Linked DNA regions of Saccharomyces cerevisiae S288C. The gene in region 2 interacts genetically with the main gene of each other region. Each region holds a gene or a part of one and is shown on either strand. Other genes may lie near its edges. The genes, in order: PHO90 and SPL2.

Region 1 (12,837 bases), on a different chromosome or scaffold from region 2:
TTTAGAGCTGCCTAATCCATTGCCATCTTTATGACGGCGAATGTAAAATAGCAAATAAGCCGATCCAGCTATACTATTTTCTGGCGCAGTTTCAGTTACTCGAGAATCATCAAAATAGTACCATTTATTGTCGGCAAAATTCTTTACGTACGCGGTATAGTGCCCACCACCCAAACCACCATAGTGGTTATCTACTGCATACAGGTCATAGATTAAACCTCTGGGATCATCTTTATAGACAACGTACCTCGACAGATCCAAATCTGTAATGGGGAAATTAACCGTGGCATCAATTTTATCGCTAAAAGACCTTTGACTTTCAAACCTTTTAAGGTGAATTAGCAGAATATCTGGTGTATTCCAAAGTTGTATTTGTTTGGTAGCCTGACGATGTTCCTTGCATGTAGGGCAGTACCACGAATCGGTTAATCCTAGTATTTCTGGTTTGGAAAATAATTGGAGACAATCGTCCAAGGTTATGGTTCTTTCCTTAGCGTTAGATCTTTCCAACTTAGCGTTCTCCAACTCTTTGTTAGGCAAAGTAGCTGGATTTTCCCAGTTATATATTTTATCATCGGAAAATGCCTCATTTGAACCCAATTCGCTCCACTCACAAACAATAATATCATTCATAGAAAGAATCGCAAACGGAGTGGAAGTCAAGCTATCCTTAATTTTATCTAACGCCTCTGGCTTATCTGTTAATTCTGGCTCTGTACTTGCATCTTCTTCAACATCATCTGTTAGTTCCATATCTTCATCCCGATCATTAGTATTATTTACATTTTCATTATTTGTTACAGTTTCTTTATTTTCTTCATCATCTCCCGATTGGAAGGGCTTGGAAAAATTCTTTGCTTCACTACCCTCGGTATCTCCCTCATCATCCACTTGCATAAGGACCCCTTCAGCACAATCTACTAAGGATGAATAATTGTAGATATCCTTCACCACATCTTCAAGTTTATCGTCTATATCTGTAGCTTTGTCAAGGTTTAACTGGGAGATAGGGGTCCAGAAATTAGGCCCTGTTCGGTTATTACTAGCAAATTGCTGCTCTTTTTCTACAGACAGAATCTTGATGGAAAAAAAGGATTTATCCTTGTCAGTCACCTTAATAGACGTATACTGTAGTATATCTTTATATTGTTCAAATTCAACATCTGGATATTTTTCTACTAATAATGGAAAAGCATCAGCAAAATCGGTTCGATTTCCTACAGGTTCAGGAAATGGGATATACCCACCACTTAAATGGACAAACCTGTTTTGCAATTTCATTCTTATTGCACCTGGATTATTCAATTCATCTTCTTTTAACGTAATAAAGAAAGGGACTCCAAATAACATTGCATTTTTGTAGCCTTTTTCAATTCTAGTATTCAATACGGGAACAATTACTTCATTGTCATTTGTTACTGGTAATTCATAAAAAATAACGTCATCAGCAGGTTTGATCAATTCCTGCAAGGTTAAAAATTGAGCATTCGACTCTGTTGACTCATAGTTAACATAGATTTGATTACTGAAAATCTCACAGCCAAATAGTGTATTTGGATCTAGGCCCGACATTTTACCAACATAATTCTTCAAGTCCATATAAGTGGACGATTTGCTTAACTCAACTTCAAGAAGAAGTGGTGGAGAGTTCATGGGAAAAATTTTTATAGTTTTATCCCACACTGTATCAACCGGAAGCGGCAATGTAACATCATTATACGGGTCAAACGTTATAGAAACATTTTGACATTCGGGACAATATAGCGTTGATTTGTACATCCCGACAAATAAATCCGTTATAACGGAACAATTTCTCTTTAAATGCATCTCCCAAGTATCGTCTGCCAGTTTCTTGACTACATTCCAATCATTCACGTCATCACCAGGAGATAATGATGGTTTTTCTGTGTATTCTTTCTTTATTATCCTGTTCAAATCTTCATGTAAACTGTCTAACAGGAAGGCTAAAAATTCTTGAGAATCCTGTTGCATATAACCAGAAAACATCGAATTAAAGTGCCCGATAGTGGATTTGAACATTGAAGGGGGGAAAGCAGCATTTCTTTGCATTATGCTCATCCTGTTTTGAAACAACTTCTGAACCAAGTCACTAAATGCCCTAGCCACATAGCCGTGGTACCCAAGAGGATTTTCTTCATTGATTTCGTCTTCATAACCATCATAAAGGAAATAATCACGCAACTGCGGAATGTGTACCAGGCATTGCAACGCAGAATTCATGTAACATGTATTTCCCAAATTGACCAAACCAGTAGTACCTGATGCTGGTTCGAGTTTATTATAAGCAAAATAGTTTGAAGGCCAATGGTGATTCCCTTCTATAGGTTTAATTTCTATGACAAGGTCACTCGGATTTGAAGTTATCTTGTCTAAACGGTTTTCAAACATGTCTGGTATTAGTAGTTTCTTTATCGGTAGTTCGAGAAATTGAAGCGGAGTTATTTCATATGAAGAATTCAAAAAAGTACTAACATTGCTATCTGTGGCAATATCAGATCCCTCTGACACAAACCAAATTTTAAAATCCACCGCATTCACGTCTAGATGATCAGCTTTCTCAAAAAACAGATTCATACTCTTTTCAACCAAATCACGTACTAAATTCAACGCAGACATCGAGAGGTACATTATTGAATCGTCCTGGCCATGCCTCCTTTTCCTCCCGTCTTGTTTTTCGGTCAGGTAATGTAGTCTGAAAAACCATTTATTGTATTCTGTCTCTAACTCCCCTGTGGTTTGGTTGATAACCAAATTAGTTACCACTGGGTAAGAGCCACTTGTCATGCCGTAAATTTCTGATAGAAAATTGAAAACAGGCTCTGCAATAGACAGATACGGACATCTATTGTAATCCTCAAGCACAAAATTTTCAAAGTCTCTGCAAATCATGCGTGTATTAATAGGGCCTATATCTTCAGGATCGGTAACATCGGGGTCGAAAAATTTATCGTACCAAACCTTGGGGACAATACAGACTTTATCACCCTCTTTTTGCGTTTCCTTGTTTTCTTCTATTAGTCTAGCAACCACGTCTCTTTGTTGTTCTAAGACATTTCTTCCATCTTGACCATTAGTTCCAAGATTAGTTTCACTTGCAGCGTGTGGCTCAGCTATTAACTCATTAGCGCTAGCAAATGAAGAAACAGCGGAAGCATCGGATTCCGTATCCTCAATTTCACGATCTGAGACTGGGACAGACTCTTGCTTTATTTCATCCTTGTCATCTAGAACATTCATCAAGTCCACTCCCAACCGATCACATGGTGTTGTGCCATCGGTGAAATCGGGATCTTCATTATAAACCAATGAACATTCACGACTTGAAACATCTGAAGAACCCATTTTCGAATGAAGAAACCTTCGATTGAAACAACAACGTTCTGCAGGATTTTCCTCCCTTTATTTTTCCAGTAATCCCATCTTTTATCTTCATGCACTTCTTCAATACGTAATAATATTTTTCCACGAACCGACCAAATTTCAAGGAAAGTGGAAAAATTTTTAATCTTTTAGCTTATAAGAATAACGAAATATACCTGATTATAACAGGGAAGCGTACCTTTTTTTCGAACATTAGACTACACAACAGAAGTGTTGGATTAATCGAATACATATAGATTATATATACGCTGTTACATGCTATCGTAGACGTATCTCTTACGCAGAGGTTGCGTTACCCTTGACAACAGATGCCATGATACCATAACCTAGAGTAATGACACATAGGAAAGCCAAAATAGAAGCTGGAACACCTCTCGTTAAGAAAGTCATGACACTTAAATAGCGATCGCCCTTTCTATCTACTTTAGAGATGGCAGTGACATTGGGGAACCCCGAAGAAGCTAGTCCCATACCACAGGATGACAATAATGCACAACCGAAAACAAGGATAGGAGCAGCTTTGGGGTTGCCAAGCTTGTCACCAACTTCTTGCACCAAGGGAATGATGATAATAGCGGATACTGTATGCGAGACGAAAGTACCCACAACCAACATCAGGATACCGAAAATACATAGAATGGCAAAAACACCATCATTCTCAATTTTCTTTTGTAATGCTTTTGCAATGGTTGATAGCAAACCCGAGGATGAGACGGCCTTCCCCAAAGCAATACCTCCCATTGCCAAAATAACGATTGACCACGGAAAGGCATTTAAATCTTGTGTTGATAGTAATCCGGTACCAAAAAACAAAACGATGGGAATGATTGCAATTTGACCTGATGACCCAAAAGCACCTTCAATCTGGCTTTCCACACACCACAACAAAATAGTGGCCACAGTGACAGTAATGATATAATACTGCTTAACTGTGAATTTCGTCTTAATAGGCTTAAATTTTTCCAATTTGGTCTTATTCATCTTGAAAGTAGTGAACAATAAAATCCAAACCAAAAGCATGGCCAGGATACCAGATGGCAATGCAACAGCAAAGAATTGGCCCCAGCCAATACCATAGGGTTTCAAGTACGACATGGAAATGATGTTTTGAGGTGAAGAGATTGGTGAAGACATACCACCGATATTTGCAGCCAACGCTACACCTAACACCAATGCTTGCGCAAATGGGCTATCTGCATCCATGGCATCCAATAGGGGAGATAACAACGAATATGTTAGAACAGGTGCTGCGACATTGGAAATCCACATTGATAGGAAGAACACGACACACATTGCCATTAAAAGAACGTTTCTGGGTTTACAACCAGCGAAGGCCAACAACCACGAGGCAAGAACTTTGGCGATGTTATATTGTGCAAGTACTTCACCCAAAGTAAAACCTGCCAGCAGAATCATAATTGTAGAAGACCACATGGCGGCCAAAATTTCTGATGAAGCGCTTGCAGCACTCATTATAGCCCCGTCGGAGGTTTTTAGGACTTTGAAAAGGACTACAAGTAGTGGTACAAGGAATGCTGTAATGTGTAATGGGATGGCCTCACTAGCCCACAAAAAGGCGACACACTCGACAAGGGCCATGCAGCGGTGCTGAGCAGCGTCGTTGAAGGTCTTTATTCCTAACAAGAGTCCAGTGACTAGAATAATAAAGTAAATCTTGTATGCTTTCTTGGTGAAAAATAATTTCGGTAGTGCAACGTTGTTTATACTAGTGAATTTTAAGTTTATCGGTCTGGGTAGTGGCCATCTGTAGTATTCCAAATCTAACTTGCCTACCAGCTTATTTGCATTATATTCTGTTTCCTTTGGTGTCAACTCGTCAGCTTGCGATAGCAGTCCCAACATGTCTTTCCAAGTGTTACTTCTTTCCCAAACAATGTGGTCATGCAGGTAGGATTTCAACTCTTGCTTGCTATGCGAGATATTATGAGGCCGGTCAGTGATGCGCGCATAAAATGTGACTAGCTGGGAAATTTTGGAATTTAGCAATTCGATCGTTTCTGCCTGGAATGCATATGTGTCTTTGAAAAACTGCTCCGATTCGATCAGTTCGGTTCTTGTATTCAAGTGAAGAACTTTGTCTGATTTCTTTGTAATTTTTGCAAACCCAATGCGGTTCAATTCGATGAACGACTTCAACTGGCAAAGATCGATATATAGGTTTACGATCGACTTCTTCAACAGCGATTTTTTCTGAGACTTAATGTTATACTGCGAATGATGCAGCAAAGCAGTATTATCTTCAATATTAGATTGATCATCGTAAAATTCGTCGTCGTCTTCGTCATCATCCAAGTCTAGTGGGGGAACTTCGTCATTTGTGCTGGCAATCGGTTCGTTAAACAGAGTATCATCGTCGATATCGTATTCTATAACTCCGATTTTCTTCAGGTCCTTCACCAGCGCGTCAAATTTGTCGTAGAACTTCGCTTCTGTCCTCTTATAAAAATCATCTACTTTCTGTTTTTCAGCTGTTAAATCACCAACAAACGTATCATAAGTGTCTAATTGCAGATTTTCGTTGGCCGTGGAGGAGACGGACGATGCGGAAGACGACCTTCTTTTGTAAAATATCTTTTCCTTCATTCTTCTGAAAGGAGAAGGTTTGGCAGCGACCGTCTGAGCAGTAGGCAACTCTCGCAACTCGATGGTTTCCTCAACGATGCCTGCATCTTTGTTCATACCGGAAGACGTATCTTCCTTCGCATTTTTAAAAGAAAACTTGTTTTTGAACCTATCTGTAATGTTAGAGCTCTTTCCTGCGCCAAATCCTTCTTCGTTATCACCAACCTGAAGTTCATCTGTTTGTAGCGTGTAAATAAGATTTTTCAGCTCGCTGTAGTCCATATAATGGTTTTGCCATTCTGGGACAGCATTGTACTTCAAGAAGTGTGAAAATCTCATGATCCTGTACCAGCTACCACTTACTCGTTTATCCTAAAAACAACTTTATTGGCCGGATGACATCGAAGTGAACAGTGTTCTTTATATCGATGAATCAAAATTTTTCAGTGAGCCATTCATTCTTCGAGAAGCAGCGCAAAAAAAAACAAAAAAAAAAAAAACGGCTGTAGCTGCGGCGATATTGTGAGCGCCCCGCTTTAGGGCGACTTTACCCATAGTAAAAAGGGAAGACAATAACGAAATAAGAAGAGAAGAGAACCGTGGTTTCTCTGTTGCTTAGGATCATATACGCCTACAGCAAGGCACCTCTTTATGCGTATGCAGTCATACAAGGAGTGTGGAAATGCAGCACAGATGGCCTTCGCTGCTTGCCAGGCTGCCATTTTTCTTGGCTGCTGCCGCTACTACTGATTTTCTTACCTCTGCTAGAAACCAGTGGAAATGATTTATTCACAATCTAGCACCATGCAACATACATCCAAATCAGTGGAAATACGACATTATTAGCCGGCCCTTTACGTGCCAAAGGTAATAACAGTGAACGGGAGATGGGAAGCTTAATGCTGTTACCCGCTATCGGTTGTTGCTATGTAAACCAAATATAAATGCAAGCCAAAAAAAAAGGGTAACATAAGGTTAAGTAGGAGAAGGGAGATATTGAATGTATAAGGTGTCAGCATGTGGGGTGAGGATAATGAGTGGCATATCAGAAATTTGGATTGGCGAACTTAGAGATTACAAGTACGCTTTACGTCTTGATAGAGAAGAGTATCCAGCGGTGCTTGTTTACGAGTATGACTCGTCTTCTACTAGGAACTATCTTTTTACCATAAAGTACAGCGATCAGAGGCCGAACTGGCAGCTCATTACTCGTGACGCAGCTTTAACAGCTTACGACTTACTTAACAGAGGTGGCGAGTTCACAACTCTCAGCTTTCCGGGAGCCACTATTCACCGTTCAGTCAGTGAGCTGTCCCGATTGCATTAACAATATATAAGGGAGCAGAGCGAAACAATATGAGGTTCAGTAACATTTAAGGGTCGCTATTGAGTGTTTTGTGAGATATAAGTGAGTTTTGAGATAATTGTTGGGATTCCGTTGTTGATAGAGGCTACAATATTATGTATACAGAATATACTAGAAGTTCCCCTCGAGGATATAAGAATTCTCAAATGGAATCTATACATACTAATAATACGACTATTCCTCATTCCGTTTTCATATGTTTCGTTCCTATTACACTATCAATCCTTGCATTTTCAGCTTCCATTACATTTGATGACTGATTCTCAATCTTTATGTTATCTTTTTACACCACATGTGATAGTATACTACTAAACAGTATGCGGTAGCTATACTCTTTAATGAATGGGCGAAGCCTCCCTAGTATTTTATCTTGACATATCTAAAGGATTGCACAATATTGCGATTTGTTCTCCACAATGAAACCTTCTCAATAATTGTCCGATCATCCACCCATTTCTTAAGATGATAGACGATTCTTAGTCCAATAACATTGTATCCTTTACGTTCCGTAGAATATCATGTTGTTGATCCTCTTCTCAGCACAGTGCTTATTACTCTCACATCAACATCAAAAAAATTGCTTCATGATTAAAATGTTTGTGGAATATAACCGTTAAAATAGGTCAGGCAAATATAAAATAGAAGCTTCTATGGCCAAGTTGGTAAGGCGCCACACTAGTAATGTGGAGATCATCGGTTCAAATCCGATTGGAAGCATATATTTGATTTTTTAGCAATTAATTTTTTTTTTTTTTTTTTTTTCACGCTCTTGAGTCATCGCGAGTAAAATTCCACTGGAAAATTTTTTCAATATATACAAAGTTCCACAATATCATACAGCTCTCACATCGTAGATTATGTCAATAGATGGTATGGCATCAAACATGTATATAAACTAAAATATTTTCATCTTTTCGTATTATTCGATTTGCGCACTTGCAAAAATAAGAATTTTCGACTTTCTTTAAACATAAAACTCTAAGAGCAATAAGCAAGAGATTCGATGCTATCTTCAGCTAATAGGTTTTATATAAAGAGGCATTTGGCAACACATGCCAATATGTTCCCCTCTGTATCTAAAAATTTTCAAACAAAAGTGCCACCTTATGCAAAACTTTTGACCAACCTAGACAAGATTAAACAAATAACAAACAATGCTCCATTGACACTAGCAGAAAAAATTTTATACTCGCATCTTTGCGATCCTGAAGAATCGATTACTTCTTCTGATCTGTCCACCATCCGTGGTAATAAATACTTGAAGCTAAACCCAGACCGTGTAGCTATGCAGGACGCTTCTGCCCAAATGGCGCTTCTACAATTCATGACCACCGGTCTAAATCAAACATCTGTCCCAGCATCCATACATTGTGATCATTTAATTGTAGGTAAGGACGGTGAAACTAAAGATTTACCCTCTTCCATAGCTACCAACCAAGAAGTTTTCGATTTCTTGGAGAGTTGCGCAAAGAGATATGGAATTCAATTCTGGGGCCCAGGTTCTGGTATCATTCACCAGATTGTTTTGGAAAATTTCTCAGCTCCAGGTCTAATGATGCTAGGTACTGATTCCCATACACCAAATGCAGGCGGTCTGGGAGCTATTGCCATCGGGGTTGGTGGTGCGGATGCAGTTGATGCCCTCACAGGCACTCCATGGGAATTAAAAGCACCAAAAATTTTAGGTGTTAAATTGACCGGAAAGTTAAACGGATGGTCCACTCCTAAAGATGTAATCACAAAGCTCGCTGGTTTACTAACTGTCAGAGGTGGTACTGGTTATATCGTCGAGTACTTCGGCGAAGGTGTATCCACTCTATCTTGCACAGGTATGGCAACCATCTGTAATATGGGAGCTGAAATCGGTGCTACAACGTCAACTTTCCCTTACCAAGAAGCTCACAAGCGTTATTTGCAAGCAACTAATAGAGCAGAGGTCGCTGAAGCAGCTGATGTTGCTTTAAACAAGTTTAACTTCTTAAGAGCCGACAAAGATGCTCAATACGATAAAGTTATTGAAATTGACTTATCCGCAATTGAACCTCACGTTAATGGTCCATTTACACCAGACCTTTCAACCCCAATATCTCAATATGCCGAAAAAAGTTTGAAGGAAAACTGGCCCCAAAAAGTTAGCGCTGGTTTGATTGGATCATGTACCAATTCATCTTATCAAGACATGAGTCGTGTTGTCGACTTGGTCAAGCAAGCTTCCAAAGCCGGCTTGAAACCACGTATCCCCTTCTTTGTCACCCCTGGTTCAGAACAAATTAGAGCTACCTTGGAAAGAGATGGAATCATCGATATTTTCCAAGAAAATGGTGCCAAAGTTTTAGCAAATGCATGCGGCCCTTGTATCGGACAATGGAATAGGGAAGATGTCTCGAAAACATCAAAAGAAACGAACACTATTTTTACATCATTCAATAGAAATTTCAGAGCTAGAAACGATGGTAATAGGAATACAATGAATTTCTTAACATCCCCAGAAATAGTAACAGCGATGAGTTATTCTGGAGATGCTCAGTTCAATCCGCTAACTGACTCAATTAAATTGCCAAATGGGAAGGATTTCAAATTCCAACCACCAAAGGGTGATGAGTTACCAAAAAGAGGATTTGAACACGGTAGAGACAAATTTTATCCTGAAATGGATCCAAAGCCAGATAGCAATGTAGAGATTAAGGTAGACCCTAATTCTGATCGTTTGCAATTATTAGAGCCATTCAAACCTTGGAACGGGAAGGAATTGAAGACAAACGTGCTTTTGAAAGTTGAAGGTAAATGTACAACAGATCATATTTCCGCTGCGGGCGTCTGGTTGAAATATAAAGGCCATCTAGAAAACATTTCTTACAATACATTGATTGGTGCACAAAACAAAGAAACCGGTGAAGTCAACAAGGCTTATGACCTTGACGGAACTGAATATGATATTCCTGGTTTGATGATGAAATGGAAATCAGACGGTAGACCATGGACCGTGATAGCGGAACATAACTATGGTGAAGGTTCCGCAAGAGAGCATGCTGCTTTGTCACCAAGATTTTTAGGCGGAGAGATTCTTTTAGTTAAGTCTTTTGCAAGAATTCATGAGACAAACTTGAAGAAACAAGGTGTGTTGCCATTGACTTTTGCCAACGAATCTGACTATGATAAAATATCAAGCGGAGATGTTTTAGAAACGTTGAACCTAGTTGACATGATTGCTAAGGATGGTAATAACGGTGGTGAAATTGATGTTAAAATTACTAAACCAAACGGTGAATCGTTCACCATCAAGGCAAAACATACTATGTCTAAAGATCAAATCGATTTTTTCAAAGCTGGTTCAGCAATCAATTATATTGGTAATATACGAAGAAACGAATAAATTCTGAAGAGATATTAGCTAAAAATTAAGAGTCCGATTTAATAGTCATAAGCTAGTTTACACAATTCTATAGACTCTGCATATAGACGGTGCAAATAACCTACCTATTTATTTATTTATTTACTATAAAAAACGTAATATTGTTTGATATATAATATTATACACGAGATCTCGACTGCTTCAACTACGGCTTAACTCAAGGGTGGGGGGTATTTTGTTGTCGTATATGCAATATGTATGTGTTAAAAAGATACAATTATGTAAGTTACCACCTTTGTTTCATTTCATTCATTACTTGTAAACCTTGTAAACGTTCTTCGTACAATGCAGCTAGCCTGCTAACCTTGTTGCTTGCTTTAATATCTGAATATCCCTTTTGAGAGAATTTATCTGCTGTCTTTGAAGTAGTTTCATTTTTCTTCTTCTTTTCTTGTAGTTCTTTGTCGAACTTCTTAATCTTCGCGTTTTGGACGAGGGTTAAACTTTCAAACTGTTGTACGAATATATCTGTTTCCACAGAATTTTTATCCTTTGCTGGCTCGTCCTTAACCATTTCTTTGATATTATCTGATATCGTTAAATCGGTGCTGCTGTTACTCAATGGAAGCGAGTCTGCTGATGGAGTCTTCGTCGGTGAGGATAATGTATCTGTAGAAGAAGAAGCTAATGCCAAATCTGTATTAGAATTGGAAGTTAGAGACAGTTGTGGTCGTGTAACTGCCTTAATAGGAAGTGGAGGTTTGGCATTGAATGATGGGGATGAAACATTTCTGCTTGAAGACTTAGGTTTCAAGACTGGTGTATTTTGTAATGCGACAGGTGTGTACGTTGGAGACGTAACAGATCTTTGTGGACTAGGGCTTCGACTTCTAGGAAGGGTTAAGCAGCCTAGTTCACTGTATCTGGTTGGCGACGACTTCCTTGGCTTAGGCAAAACAGGGATAGTAGAAGACGATGATACGGATGAAGGAGGTGATGATATTTCCTTCGCGATTTCGGGGAAAAAGTCCAGTAAATTTTTAATATATCTCGACCCAATAGCTAAACGATCATTAGTCATCATGGAAAGTTTTTCCTTACATAACGCCGGAGTTAAAGCTTTACTTAGGGTCCTTGAATCATGTTTAGTCGATTCACCATGCGCTATGATCCTATTAAAAAAAGGAATTATGACCATAAAGAGGTCCTGGTATTGGTTGAATTTAATAATTTTGCGGAATGTTTCACTTGTGAACTTTAGATCATCAACAATTGGTAACGGAATTAATTCAATTGGGATTAGAGGTTTGGCTTTATTCTTAATGAAGTAATTCAACCACACGGATGCCAAAGAATAAATATCCCATTGAGATAAATCAATGTAGTTGTTTCTTTTGATAATATCCAAAAAAATGTTTACCTTTTTATAGTTTCCCGGCTTCTGGAATATCAATTCACACAACAGAGCGTCATTCTGTAATTTCTTGAAAATTTTATCGAATACTAACTGCCTATACTGTCTTATTGCCAGAGGGGTCAATCTGTTATAATATTCCTCCGGGACATTTATATGTTCGCGTATCTGGTAATCATATAAGTACACGTTCAACGATATTCTAAGTCGCGTAATATCTATTAGCTCGGATAAAGAAGTCAGGTCCAAGACATGAACTAAACTTGGAAAATCATGCTGACTATCTTTTGAGTCCAAGAAGTTAAAGTTCATAGCGTTTGAAATTACTTGATAGACCGACCTAACGAAGAATGACTCATGAACAATAAAAATCTTTTGTAAATAGAACTTGGTCTCTTTGGGTAACTTTGCAAACATTTTAATACCGTAAACCCAGCTTATTTTTCTCTGGGAAAACCCAGATGAAAAAATCACCAGTGAATATGGTGCCTGTGGCAATTTCATTACCAATCGATCCATGAGGGCATTAATAAGCAAGTCATAAACTTGCTTATCGCCAATTTCATCAGATGCTGGCAAATAAGTCGAATCAAAGACATAAATTGCGTGACCAGAGTTAGGATCAACTGAATAAGATCTAAAAAATATGTTATTAACGTTGATATCTATCATCCTGGCCTTCTTTCACGCTACCAATAGTATTATCCAGTAGGGCCATAT
Region 2 (10,666 bases):
AGTTGGCGGCGGTCGTGGCGGTCATCGAAGATCTTGCGGGCGAGTCGACAGCCTGGTGGTGGAGTTGTTTGTTTGCTTGTACGTTAAAATTTGCGTTTCCGTTTATATTGGTGAGGTTGTTAACTGCTAGAGTGGTACTTGCTATGGGCATGGACATGGGGAAGAGGAGAGCAGGAAAAGGGCCAGCGAATGCGCGAAATTTTTGTATGTGTCTTTTCTCTACTATGGCATCCACATGAAAACCAGTCACAGAGCACTCAATGAACGGTTTGCGTTTGTTGTTTGTAAGAAGCAAGCAGAAATCAAAGACCCATGTATACGATCGCTGATTTGTTTTGTTCTGTTTTTTCTTGTTCCGGCGAAAAAATCGTAAGAAACGAAAGGAGAACGAGCCCACAGGCGGGGTAACATCAAAAGGATTTATATTAGATCGTAAAGTCAATGCATATGTAACAGTACAGAGGTAGAAGGTATGTATGTGTAACGATTAAGAGATGCAATCATGATTGTTCTTCGTCAGACGAATCTTCGAATATGTCTTCGTCAATGACACAGTCGTTCTCCCAAAAGTCATGGGCGAGCTTGCTTAAAACGGCGGCAGCGTTTTGACGCTGCGCTCTACTTGAATCTTTCTCATTAATGTACTCGTTATACTCTTTAAAAGTTGATCCACTGAGAGATTGTGACTGCGATGTTCTACGTGGAGTATAGTAACTAGCAGGATTGAGCCTCCTGCACTCTTTGAGCCTCAATAGAGAAGCGATCTCCTCGGAGAGTTTTCTTCCCTTATGCTGGTGACCATCTTTAAGTTGTTTGTGTTGTCCTTGTGAAACTGCTGTTTCCATTTTGCCGCGTGGAGACATCTGTCCAATTTGCCCCTGGCTCTCTGTAAATACCCATATATGAACGTTATATATATTGTATATTAATGGCGTATATGTGCCCATGGGAAGTCATAGTAATAGATCTAGGCACGTGGCTGCAGTGACTCCGCGCAGGGCTGTACCGCCAAGGTAGATAAGAGAGCGGAGCACGTGGGAAAAGAGAGATACGGTATGTTACAACAGTCAAAGTAATGAACTTTCGCCCACGTGCGTACATCATTTACTATCTCAGGCCGCTGCGTTTGGAACTTTACGGCGTTGTAGTTGTAATTGCCATAACTGCCATGCATTTATGTATATATATTTTCGTACGTAATGAACATGGTTATGTTATATATTGTTTGCAATCAGAGAGAAGTTGAAGAGGAGAAAAAAAAAAAGAGAGAGCCGTACCGCAATAAAATGGACCCTTGTCGGTCACGTGAGCAAAAATACTATTGCCGCCGACGGCCGTAGATAATAACAAAGGAATAAAAAAAAAAAAGCGGTAACTCGCGGAAGCATTGCCGATGCTTACCGAGATTTGCCGCGGATAACCGAACCATCATTGGGGTAGGAAACATTATAAATATTTGATATATATAAAGGAAAAAGCTTGATTTGGTCTTGTAATATCCCAGTGTAAACATAAAAATACACACATACCACAATTACACTCTCTCATCGACTCAATGACTGCTGGTTCTGCCCCCCCTGTTGATTACACTTCCTTAAAGAAGAACTTCCAACCGTTTCTCTCCAGAAGAGTAGAAAATAGATCTCTGAAAAGCTTTTGGGATGCTTCTGATATCTCAGATGACGTCATTGAGCTAGCTGGTGGAATGCCAAACGAGAGATTTTTTCCTATCGAATCTATGGATTTGAAAATATCAAAAGTTCCTTTTAATGATAACCCAAAATGGCATAATTCGTTTACCACGGCGCATTTGGACTTGGGATCCCCCAGTGAGCTACCCATTGCACGTTCTTTCCAATATGCAGAAACCAAGGGTTTACCCCCTCTCTTACATTTTGTTAAAGATTTTGTGTCCAGAATTAATCGCCCAGCCTTTTCCGATGAGACGGAGTCTAACTGGGATGTCATCCTTTCTGGCGGGTCCAACGATTCAATGTTTAAGGTTTTTGAAACAATTTGCGACGAATCGACCACTGTGATGATTGAAGAGTTTACTTTCACCCCGGCTATGTCCAATGTGGAGGCTACAGGAGCAAAAGTCATCCCCATCAAGATGAACCTGACCTTCGACAGAGAGTCCCAGGGTATTGATGTCGAATATCTAACGCAGTTGCTCGATAATTGGTCAACTGGACCATACAAAGACTTAAACAAGCCAAGGGTCCTATATACCATTGCAACGGGCCAAAATCCTACCGGGATGTCTGTCCCCCAGTGGAAAAGAGAGAAAATTTACCAGTTGGCCCAAAGACACGATTTCCTCATTGTTGAAGATGATCCCTACGGTTATCTGTACTTTCCTTCCTATAATCCGCAAGAGCCATTAGAAAACCCTTACCATTCTAGCGACCTGACTACTGAACGGTATTTGAATGATTTTTTAATGAAATCATTCTTGACTTTGGATACAGATGCCCGTGTCATCCGTTTGGAGACTTTTTCTAAAATTTTTGCTCCTGGATTAAGGTTATCCTTCATCGTTGCTAATAAATTCCTTTTGCAAAAAATCTTGGATTTGGCCGACATTACTACAAGGGCCCCCAGTGGTACCTCACAAGCTATTGTTTATTCTACAATAAAGGCAATGGCTGAGTCCAACTTATCGTCCTCTCTTTCTATGAAAGAAGCAATGTTTGAGGGTTGGATAAGATGGATAATGCAGATTGCTTCTAAATACAATCATAGGAAAAATCTTACTTTGAAAGCCTTATACGAAACAGAATCTTACCAAGCTGGTCAGTTTACCGTTATGGAACCCTCCGCGGGTATGTTCATCATTATTAAAATCAATTGGGGGAATTTCGATAGACCTGACGATTTGCCGCAACAGATGGATATTTTAGATAAGTTCTTGCTGAAGAATGGTGTTAAAGTAGTGCTTGGTTATAAAATGGCTGTTTGCCCAAATTATTCAAAGCAGAATTCAGATTTTCTAAGACTCACCATCGCCTATGCAAGGGATGATGATCAGTTGATTGAAGCTTCCAAAAGAATCGGTAGTGGCATAAAAGAATTTTTTGACAACTATAAAAGTTGAACAGTGAAGATTAAACCTATGTGTTATTTGCATATCATATATAAATTGTAGTTTTTTGTATAAAAGTTGGGAAAAAGTTATAGTCGCGTATATTTTAAATTACTCTAAGCAACTAAATGGTCACGGTTTAGAGCATGAACTTCTGAATCCTTTTCCAAATTGCATTTAGCACCGTACTCGCTTTCAATATAGCTCAAACGTTCTTTCAGACCGTCCAAAATTTGGTCGCTATCAGGTAAGTCCACTGTAAAGCCCTTTATCAAGCTATATTCGTGTGTTATTTTACCCCCTATGTCCACCACATATTTTTTGACATCTTCAATAATGCTATTCTGGTCCGTAGCCATATTATCCGTCTTGGGGAAAGTTACGATGTATGATGATAAGGAAGATGCCTGTGCCATGGAGAATATGCTAATGAAAATCAAAACTAAGTAACTGGCCTTCATATATATGCTATAGTCTGTTACACAATAGATTTAAATGTTGTAATATAACGAGGAAACGCAACTTATCCATTTGTTCTCTCCATCGCATCGCTTTTTCTTAAATACTTTTGCCCCCCACCCCTTTATCCACTTGCGTTTTCCTCTTTTCTTCGCCTCTTTTTGGTAGCGCCGACCGATCTAATCGGAATAATCAAATTTAATAGGAACTGAATATTAGAAATTATTGAAGTCAATATACTGTAAAAACTATAAATCCTGTAACGAACATAAAAAAAGAAAACATAAAGGAAGCGCGTGATGTATCAGTAACATCACATAGTACAATAAAAAAGAAAGAGAACACTGATAATAACTGTACTGAAGACAAACAATTAGGAAAGTAACGACGATCTTTCTTTCGTCCAGTCATCATAACAATATGTGTTTTTGTTTTTGTTTTTGTTTTTGTTTTTGTTTTTGTTTTTGTTTTTATTTTATTTATTTTTTGCTTATTTTCGTAGTACACAACACATAATCATCTTATTGTTGACTAACAGGGAAGATTTGTTGTAACTCGCTACTACTTGTGACTTGATTATGGATAGCAATAGACAACAAAGTTTGCGCTTGGATTGGTGACAAGTACCCAGCAGAAATTGCACCTTGTGGAATACTTGTGTTACTTATGAACCCAATTCCTGAACCATCATGACCACTGGATCCATCACTTGCATAAACGACAGGGAAGTCGACCGATGTCCATGATGCCACGGTACTGTTGTGACTTGTACCAGAGCTGACAACAACCAAACCTTGGATACTAGAACTTAGTGATTGAATTAAGCTTTGAGAATATCCTTCTTCGTATATAATTGGAACCAATGGACTGGAGGATGATGAGGATGTATTGGTCCCGGAGGAGGCATTAGAAGATATTTGTGCGCTCGTAAAATTCGAGTATTGAGTTCTGATTGTGGAGTTGCTGGCAATCAGAGTTGGCTCACAGGCATCAAAGAACCATTGAACATTCTTCTGACCAGACAAAACGCCCACAGGAACAGTGTAAGGAGGGAAAACACCAGAATACACAACTTTATCTCTACCGGCAACCAAAGTGCCTCTACCTTCCGCGTCCGAACTACTCAATATTGGTACACCCCATAAGAAATTCTCAGTAATGACAATGGTCTTTGATGTATTAAAAACGATTGAGCAGAAGAAACTCAAAGTTTCAATGGAACGCCAGTTTGTGACGATTATAATGCCGGAAGACGATTCGCTTTGTAAAGTCTGATTAACTTGAGTAGCAATTTGGTAAAGTTGAGTGATGTTTAAGGTGGAAGTAGAGTTGAATAGCGTTGTGGTAGTAACGTTTGACTGGCTACCAGATACAGCAGGTCCACCCGTGATGATCACGGGGACCGTACCGCCGCCAGAAGTAACGTTCTGCCTCTTGTAAAGTGGTGTTGCAGAAGCTGTTAAAGTTGCAAGAAAAAATGCTAGCACTGATGTGAATTTCATAATAGCTGATTGGGTTCTTAGATGTGAAAACTGATCGAAATCAAATACTAGAGCATGATTGATAGGAACAAGAGAAACCAAAAGTGTTTTTAGCTTTCCTCCCAATTTTTATAGTATTCTAATGAGTAACGTCTTAGGGGAATTTTCAACAAGGCATTTCTAAAAGGGGATGCTAGTTGCACATTCTGAGAGAATCATTTGTACACGTTTTTCCCTATTTTCTGCTCATAAACCGAGGATCATCAGCGTTAAATGTAATTGCTAAGCCAAGAACTTTTGCTACTCTAACATTACATATTTGAAGGGTACAGTGAGATTCCCCAACAGGAATTCGCTTCTGTACATCAGCCGGTATTCGCTGAGAACTACTGTAGCCCTTAACTGTTGAATGATCTTTTTCTGGTAGATCATCGGCTTCTTTTGACGCAGGAAAAGGCCCGTGTCACTTCGGCTTAGCTTCTTTCGGCGATTTTCAAGGGAAGCGTCTGCACCTTAACGCAGACAAATGACGCATGATATGCACCCTTAAGGCGGACTTGATCTTCAGATCCCTCAAATGGTAAATGTGCCATAAGGTGGCCAAATTCCAACTAAAAATGATAAATAGGTAATGAATTGTTCACTATGCAGCGTTGCCACCGTTACGCCTCCCCCTTATTTTTCATTTCCGTTTCCATCCAGTTTTTCAGCCTCCTTGAACCCTACCATTAGTAATGGAAGCAATAATCTCATAGCAGCAATTGAAAAAAAAAAAGCATATTCGCTCACATTAAAATAATGAGATAACATGAGATGGCTTGGAATTATAAGCGTTCGCTGACCTGAAAAAGGCGCGGGGCTAATGGACCCATTCGTTAAAATGACCTTAAGCATCCACACATGCAGAATAAAAGAACTTAACCTATTCCTTAGGAAAGTTTATGTATTTGCTGGTACCCTCTTCCTTCTTTGGCCTCTTTTCTGACGTGAATGTCACATGTTAACATTTTTGTCAAATAGCGTCCATCTATTTGAACAAATGCTATCATTTTTGGGGATACAAATTCTATAAGAGGTTCCTGTTTGCAGCATCTAAAAACAGAGCGTGAAACGCATGCAGAAGTGACATATAATCCTTTGTTTAAGCGACAATTAAAAATAATGATCGCTCTCTTTTCCTTTTCAGACTTGCTCATTAAATTTGACAAGATCCGCGGATTAGAGAAGTCTGCGCTTCGCATTTAATGAAAAGATCTCCGATAAGTATATAAGTCCCTTTTTTCTCGAATTATATAAGTCACTTTCTATATGTCAGTGATTATCTCTACACTAGTCTTGCTGTATTCTTAGCAAATTTTTCTCGTATTTTAAAACCATAATACAAGGAGAATCCATGATGTCTTGTCTGGTACCAACACGTTTTACTTTGACCCTTAACACCGCGTGTCTTTTGACGAGCACCTGGGGGTTTGTTAGGGCCACATCTGTAGTCTTACCTCCAAGTTTAAGTAAAGCAGGCCATAAACAGTTTCTAACCATTATATCTATTATTGCAACAATCATTAATAACGCGGTTAACATTTCTAATTATTATATCCAAAGAAACAATAAGATGAATCTAGAAACCAAGAAAAAATCAGACTTTATTAGTAGACATGTCACTTTGCCAGTTTCTTTAGTATTAGAATCTATTGTTGCTACCGTTTATTGGCCGCTTAGATTGTTTTTTGTCAACTTAATAATGCATGGAGTTGAATCTACTGCAAAGACACCTTTTCCTATGACAGTGGATATGGCAATCCACTTATATCCTATTTTATATTTACTAGCCGATCACTACTTATCGGGATCTGGCACGAAATTCAAATTATCGAATAAGCATGCATGGCTCATTGTAACCAGTTTAGCATTTTCATATTTTCAATATTTAGCATTCCTGATAGATGCGGGGCAAGGCCAAGCCTATCCATACCCGTTTCTAGACGTGAACGAGCCGTACAAGTCGATTATATTTGTTGTTGTTGCTACTATTACGTGGGCTTATTATGTATTTTATCAAAAGTTTCCGCCAAAATACATCAAGAAGTCGGCAAAGAAAGGTGATAAGAATTAGCATTACTACTAGTATACTACTATTTAAGCTCTTTGTATGTAAAGTGAGCAAATCTCAAATTTTGCTACTTAATTCTTATTTTCGTGCTAGCCCTACAACGGAACCCAAAAAATCAATCACCAGGGTAAGCGGGAAAAAAAAAAAGTGTAGGAACCGCACTATAAAAAGTCGAAGGTTTGTATTAATTTTCCACACCTCTTTAGTTTTGTTATAATCAAATTCCTTTTGGTTTTTGTTTTAAAAAGGCCAACATCATAATTATATCGCGAATGTACTACTAGTATATGCAGTTTTCTTAAAATTGCAGGGAATGACTAAAAGCCCACGTTTTTCCCACTTTTAGTAGTACTGAAGCGTAGATAGATTGAACGTTGCTGGGCGCCTGGTGTTGATCATTTCTGAAATGAGATATTGGGAATCAGCTGTATCTACATTTTATTTATACATATTTATTTTTACTGGTTCTTAGTAACGTACTTTAGTAGCAATGCTGTGTTTTAGTGCGAACGCCTACGTGTCTTGTTAACTTATCATGGTTGCCAACGCGAACGTTTACAACAGGTTCAAAGGCAGGATGAAAAATTACGCCAAATAGGCAGGTTTTCAATATTAAAGAGTTAAGTATGCAAAATTTACAAAAAGTTAATGGTCAAAGTATAACTATAAAAATATAATAAAACAATAAACAATAACAACTCTCAGAATTGCAAAGCTTGACCCTTTTGCTTCTTTTCACCACCCAATTCGAAGTGCTTACATCTCTTCAAGGTTAATTGGGCTCTAGTCTTACATTTGACACATTCCAATCTCAAAACAACCTTCTTGGTAGTCTTAGCTTTCTTGTGGAAAACAGGCTTGGTTTGACCACCGAAACCAGATTGTTTACGGTCATAACGTCTCTTACCTTGAGCGAACAAGGAAGCCTTACCAGCTTTGTATTGAGTAACCTTGTGTTGAGTGTGCTTACGACAGGTCTTACCCTTACAGTAGGTCTTTCTGGTCTTTGGGACGTTAACTGGTTCAAAATGATATCACAGCAAATTTAGCATGATAGTTGATTGTTAGTAATTGATCTTAAAAAAAAAGTAATTTGACTGCACATGTAATTAGTTGTATCTTTTTTCTGTAATGGGGAAACGGCTAAATTCACAAATATCTAATGAGTATTACTAATGATATCCTCAATATATTTTCTAACCAGAGTTCTTATTAAAAGGGCCAATAAAAGTATCATTCAGGTGTTCAGTACTTTAGGAAATGATGAAAATATTTAACTAGCTCAAAAGTAAATGAAGTTTAATAACTATTAGTTTCTTGCTTGACATGGATTTGCCCTACGATTCAGGATATTTTAAAAAGTTCTTTAGCATTCTAGTAGTACCTGTGTACTAATTACACTCTCACGCCCTAATGGAGATAAATAACATGGTTTGTCTATTCCTAATCGTCCACATACCCATTATTACTGATTGTTTTTTTGCTTAATCTCCTTCAATTTACGTTAAAACAGTGAAAATACCACATCAATTAAGATATACATTGTCAACAATATGGATGTATCTCTGAGTTCATTTCGACGAATAATTTTACCTCTCTTGGTGGAAAGCCTTCCCTCCCCCTGGCGGAACCCATCATCCCGTCGAACAACTAAACCGTCAGCGTTGCCGCACCGACGGACGTCTCTCTAGAGGTCGTCTCTCCGTCTGAACATACGCACTGTTGGTACGATGCAGCGGCAGTCTGGCCGCATTTTTGACAGCGATCTTTTTTTGTATCAAGACTTCTTCCAATGTCAGGATTTATTTTCATGATGTATGGGTGTATCGGATGTTCGGATGTCACTGTCTTTTATTTTGAAGTTTGTGACAGAGAATGCTATGGAAAATAATATGTAGCAACATAGCCAACTAATTGCCATTGCATTAAATTTTGGCAGTACTATTTAAAATGCCATGTTTTATGTTGTTACAGTAAGTTATTGACATTCTTCTGGTGTTGCCCGCTTCGCTTTCTTAAAACGGTTAAATATTGAAAAAGTTTCACAAGACACGAAATCAAAAAGGATCCATTTTGGTATAAAAATAGCATATTGCATAACTTAACTAAAAAGATTAAAAAAAGTCAAAGCTACACTGGCATACTTTGAACTGTTTTTTCAAAGCTGTCTCCACGTGGAAAGTTTATTTCATCAAAACTATTATCAAAAATTGTGGTTTTGTTAATACAAAAGCTGATATATATATAATATGGCATTTAGTGATTTTGCTGCCATATGCTCAAAGACCCCGTTGCCATTATGTTCGGTAATAAAGTCTAAAACCCATCTAATACTTTCGAACTCAACAATTATACATGATTTTGATCCTTTAAATTTGAATGTCGGTGTACTGCCACGCTGTTATGCTCGGTCGATTGATCTTGCCAATACAGTCATCTTTGATGTCGGGAACGCATTCATAAATATTGGTGCTCTAGGTGTCATTTTAATCATACTTTATAACATAAGACAGAAGTATACTGCTATTGGCAGGTCTGAATATCTCTACTTTTTCCAACTAACATTGCTATTGATAATATTTACCTTGGTGGTAGACTGTGGTGTATCTCCCCCCGGCTCTGGGTCATATCCATACTTCGTGGCTATACAAATAGGACTGGCGGGTGCATGTTGCTGGGCCTTATTGATAATCGGGTTTTTAGGTTTCAATTTATGGGAAGATGGGACTACAAAGTCCATGCTGTTGGTCCGTGGAACGTCCATGCTAGGATTCATAGCCAATTTTTTAGCCTCTATTTTAACCTTCAAAGCATGGATCACCGACCATAAAGTAGCAACAATGAACGCTTCAGGGATGATTGTCGTCGTTTACATAATAAACGCCATTTTCTTATTCGTTTTCGTTATTTGTCAATTACTGGTATCCCTATTGGTAGTTCGAAACTTATGGGTCACAGGAGCTATCTTTTTGGGGCTATTTTTCTTTGTAGCAGGCCAGGTATTGGTTTATGCCTTCTCTACACAAATTTGTGAAGGGTTCAAGCACTACTTAGATGGCCTCTTTTTTGGAAGCATCTGTAATGTGTTCACATTAATGATGGTTTACAAGACTTGGGATATGACTACCGACGACGACTTGGAATTTGGTGTAAGTGTTAGCAAGGACGGTGACGTGGTGTATGATAATGGATTTATGTGAAATGCTTCTTTTTTCTATTACCATATATAGAAAATAGGTGTATACTATTAGTTTAATGTAATAAGCAGGACTATGACAAACCAAAGAGTGAAAGTAGCCGTTTCCACGTTTTAACGGCTTGTGTACACTTTGACAGTCAATCAGCGTAGTGACTTCTTTTATCAGCGGAAACAACCATATCCATAAAAGAAACGTGATGGTCGTTCCCGTAGTTTATTAAGTAAGATGACAAATTATCCTTCTTTAGTCAATTGAAAACAAAACTTCTTAATCTGTTTCCAATGTTTTAAAGTCGCTCATATGTTCATGACTACTTTTCCATGAGAGGGTT

Evidence for each region.
Region 1: of SPL2 (region 2) and PHO90, changing one suppresses a phenotype caused by changing the other (phenotypic suppression), as found in Saccharomyces cerevisiae (one study listed by BioGRID).

What each region holds. Positions count from the first base shown.
Region 1 is NC_001142.9:54,331-67,167, reverse strand, and holds PHO90 (SPX domain-containing inorganic phosphate transporter), read right to left. Parts: upstream 6,325-12,837; coding exon 3,679-6,324; downstream 1-3,678. Other genes in the region: putative ubiquitin-specific protease UBP12, read right to left, coding at 1-3,363; MBB1 (Mbb1p), read left to right, coding at 6,986-7,312; aconitate hydratase ACO2, read left to right, coding at 8,355-10,724; ECM25 (Ecm25p), read right to left, coding at 10,990-12,789. UniProt on the Saccharomyces cerevisiae protein: Low-affinity phosphate transporter involved in the control of cellular phosphate levels.
Region 2 is NC_001140.6:374,154-384,819, forward strand, and holds SPL2 (Spl2p), read right to left. Parts: upstream 948-10,666; coding exon 501-947; downstream 1-500. Other genes in the region: serine/threonine protein kinase YCK1, read right to left, coding at 1-157; ARO9 (aromatic-amino-acid:2-oxoglutarate transaminase), read left to right, coding at 1,556-3,097; YHR138C (uncharacterized protein), read right to left, coding at 3,202-3,546; SPS100 (Sps100p), read right to left, coding at 4,066-5,046; YHR139C-A (uncharacterized protein), read right to left, coding at 5,955-6,266; YHR140W (uncharacterized protein), read left to right, coding at 6,419-7,138; 60S ribosomal protein eL42 RPL42B, read right to left, coding at 7,837-8,153, 8,595-8,598; CHS7 (Chs7p), read left to right, coding at 9,385-10,335. UniProt on the Saccharomyces cerevisiae protein: Putative cyclin-dependent kinase (CDK) inhibitor necessary and sufficient for PHO pathway-dependent down-regulation of low-affinity phosphate transport.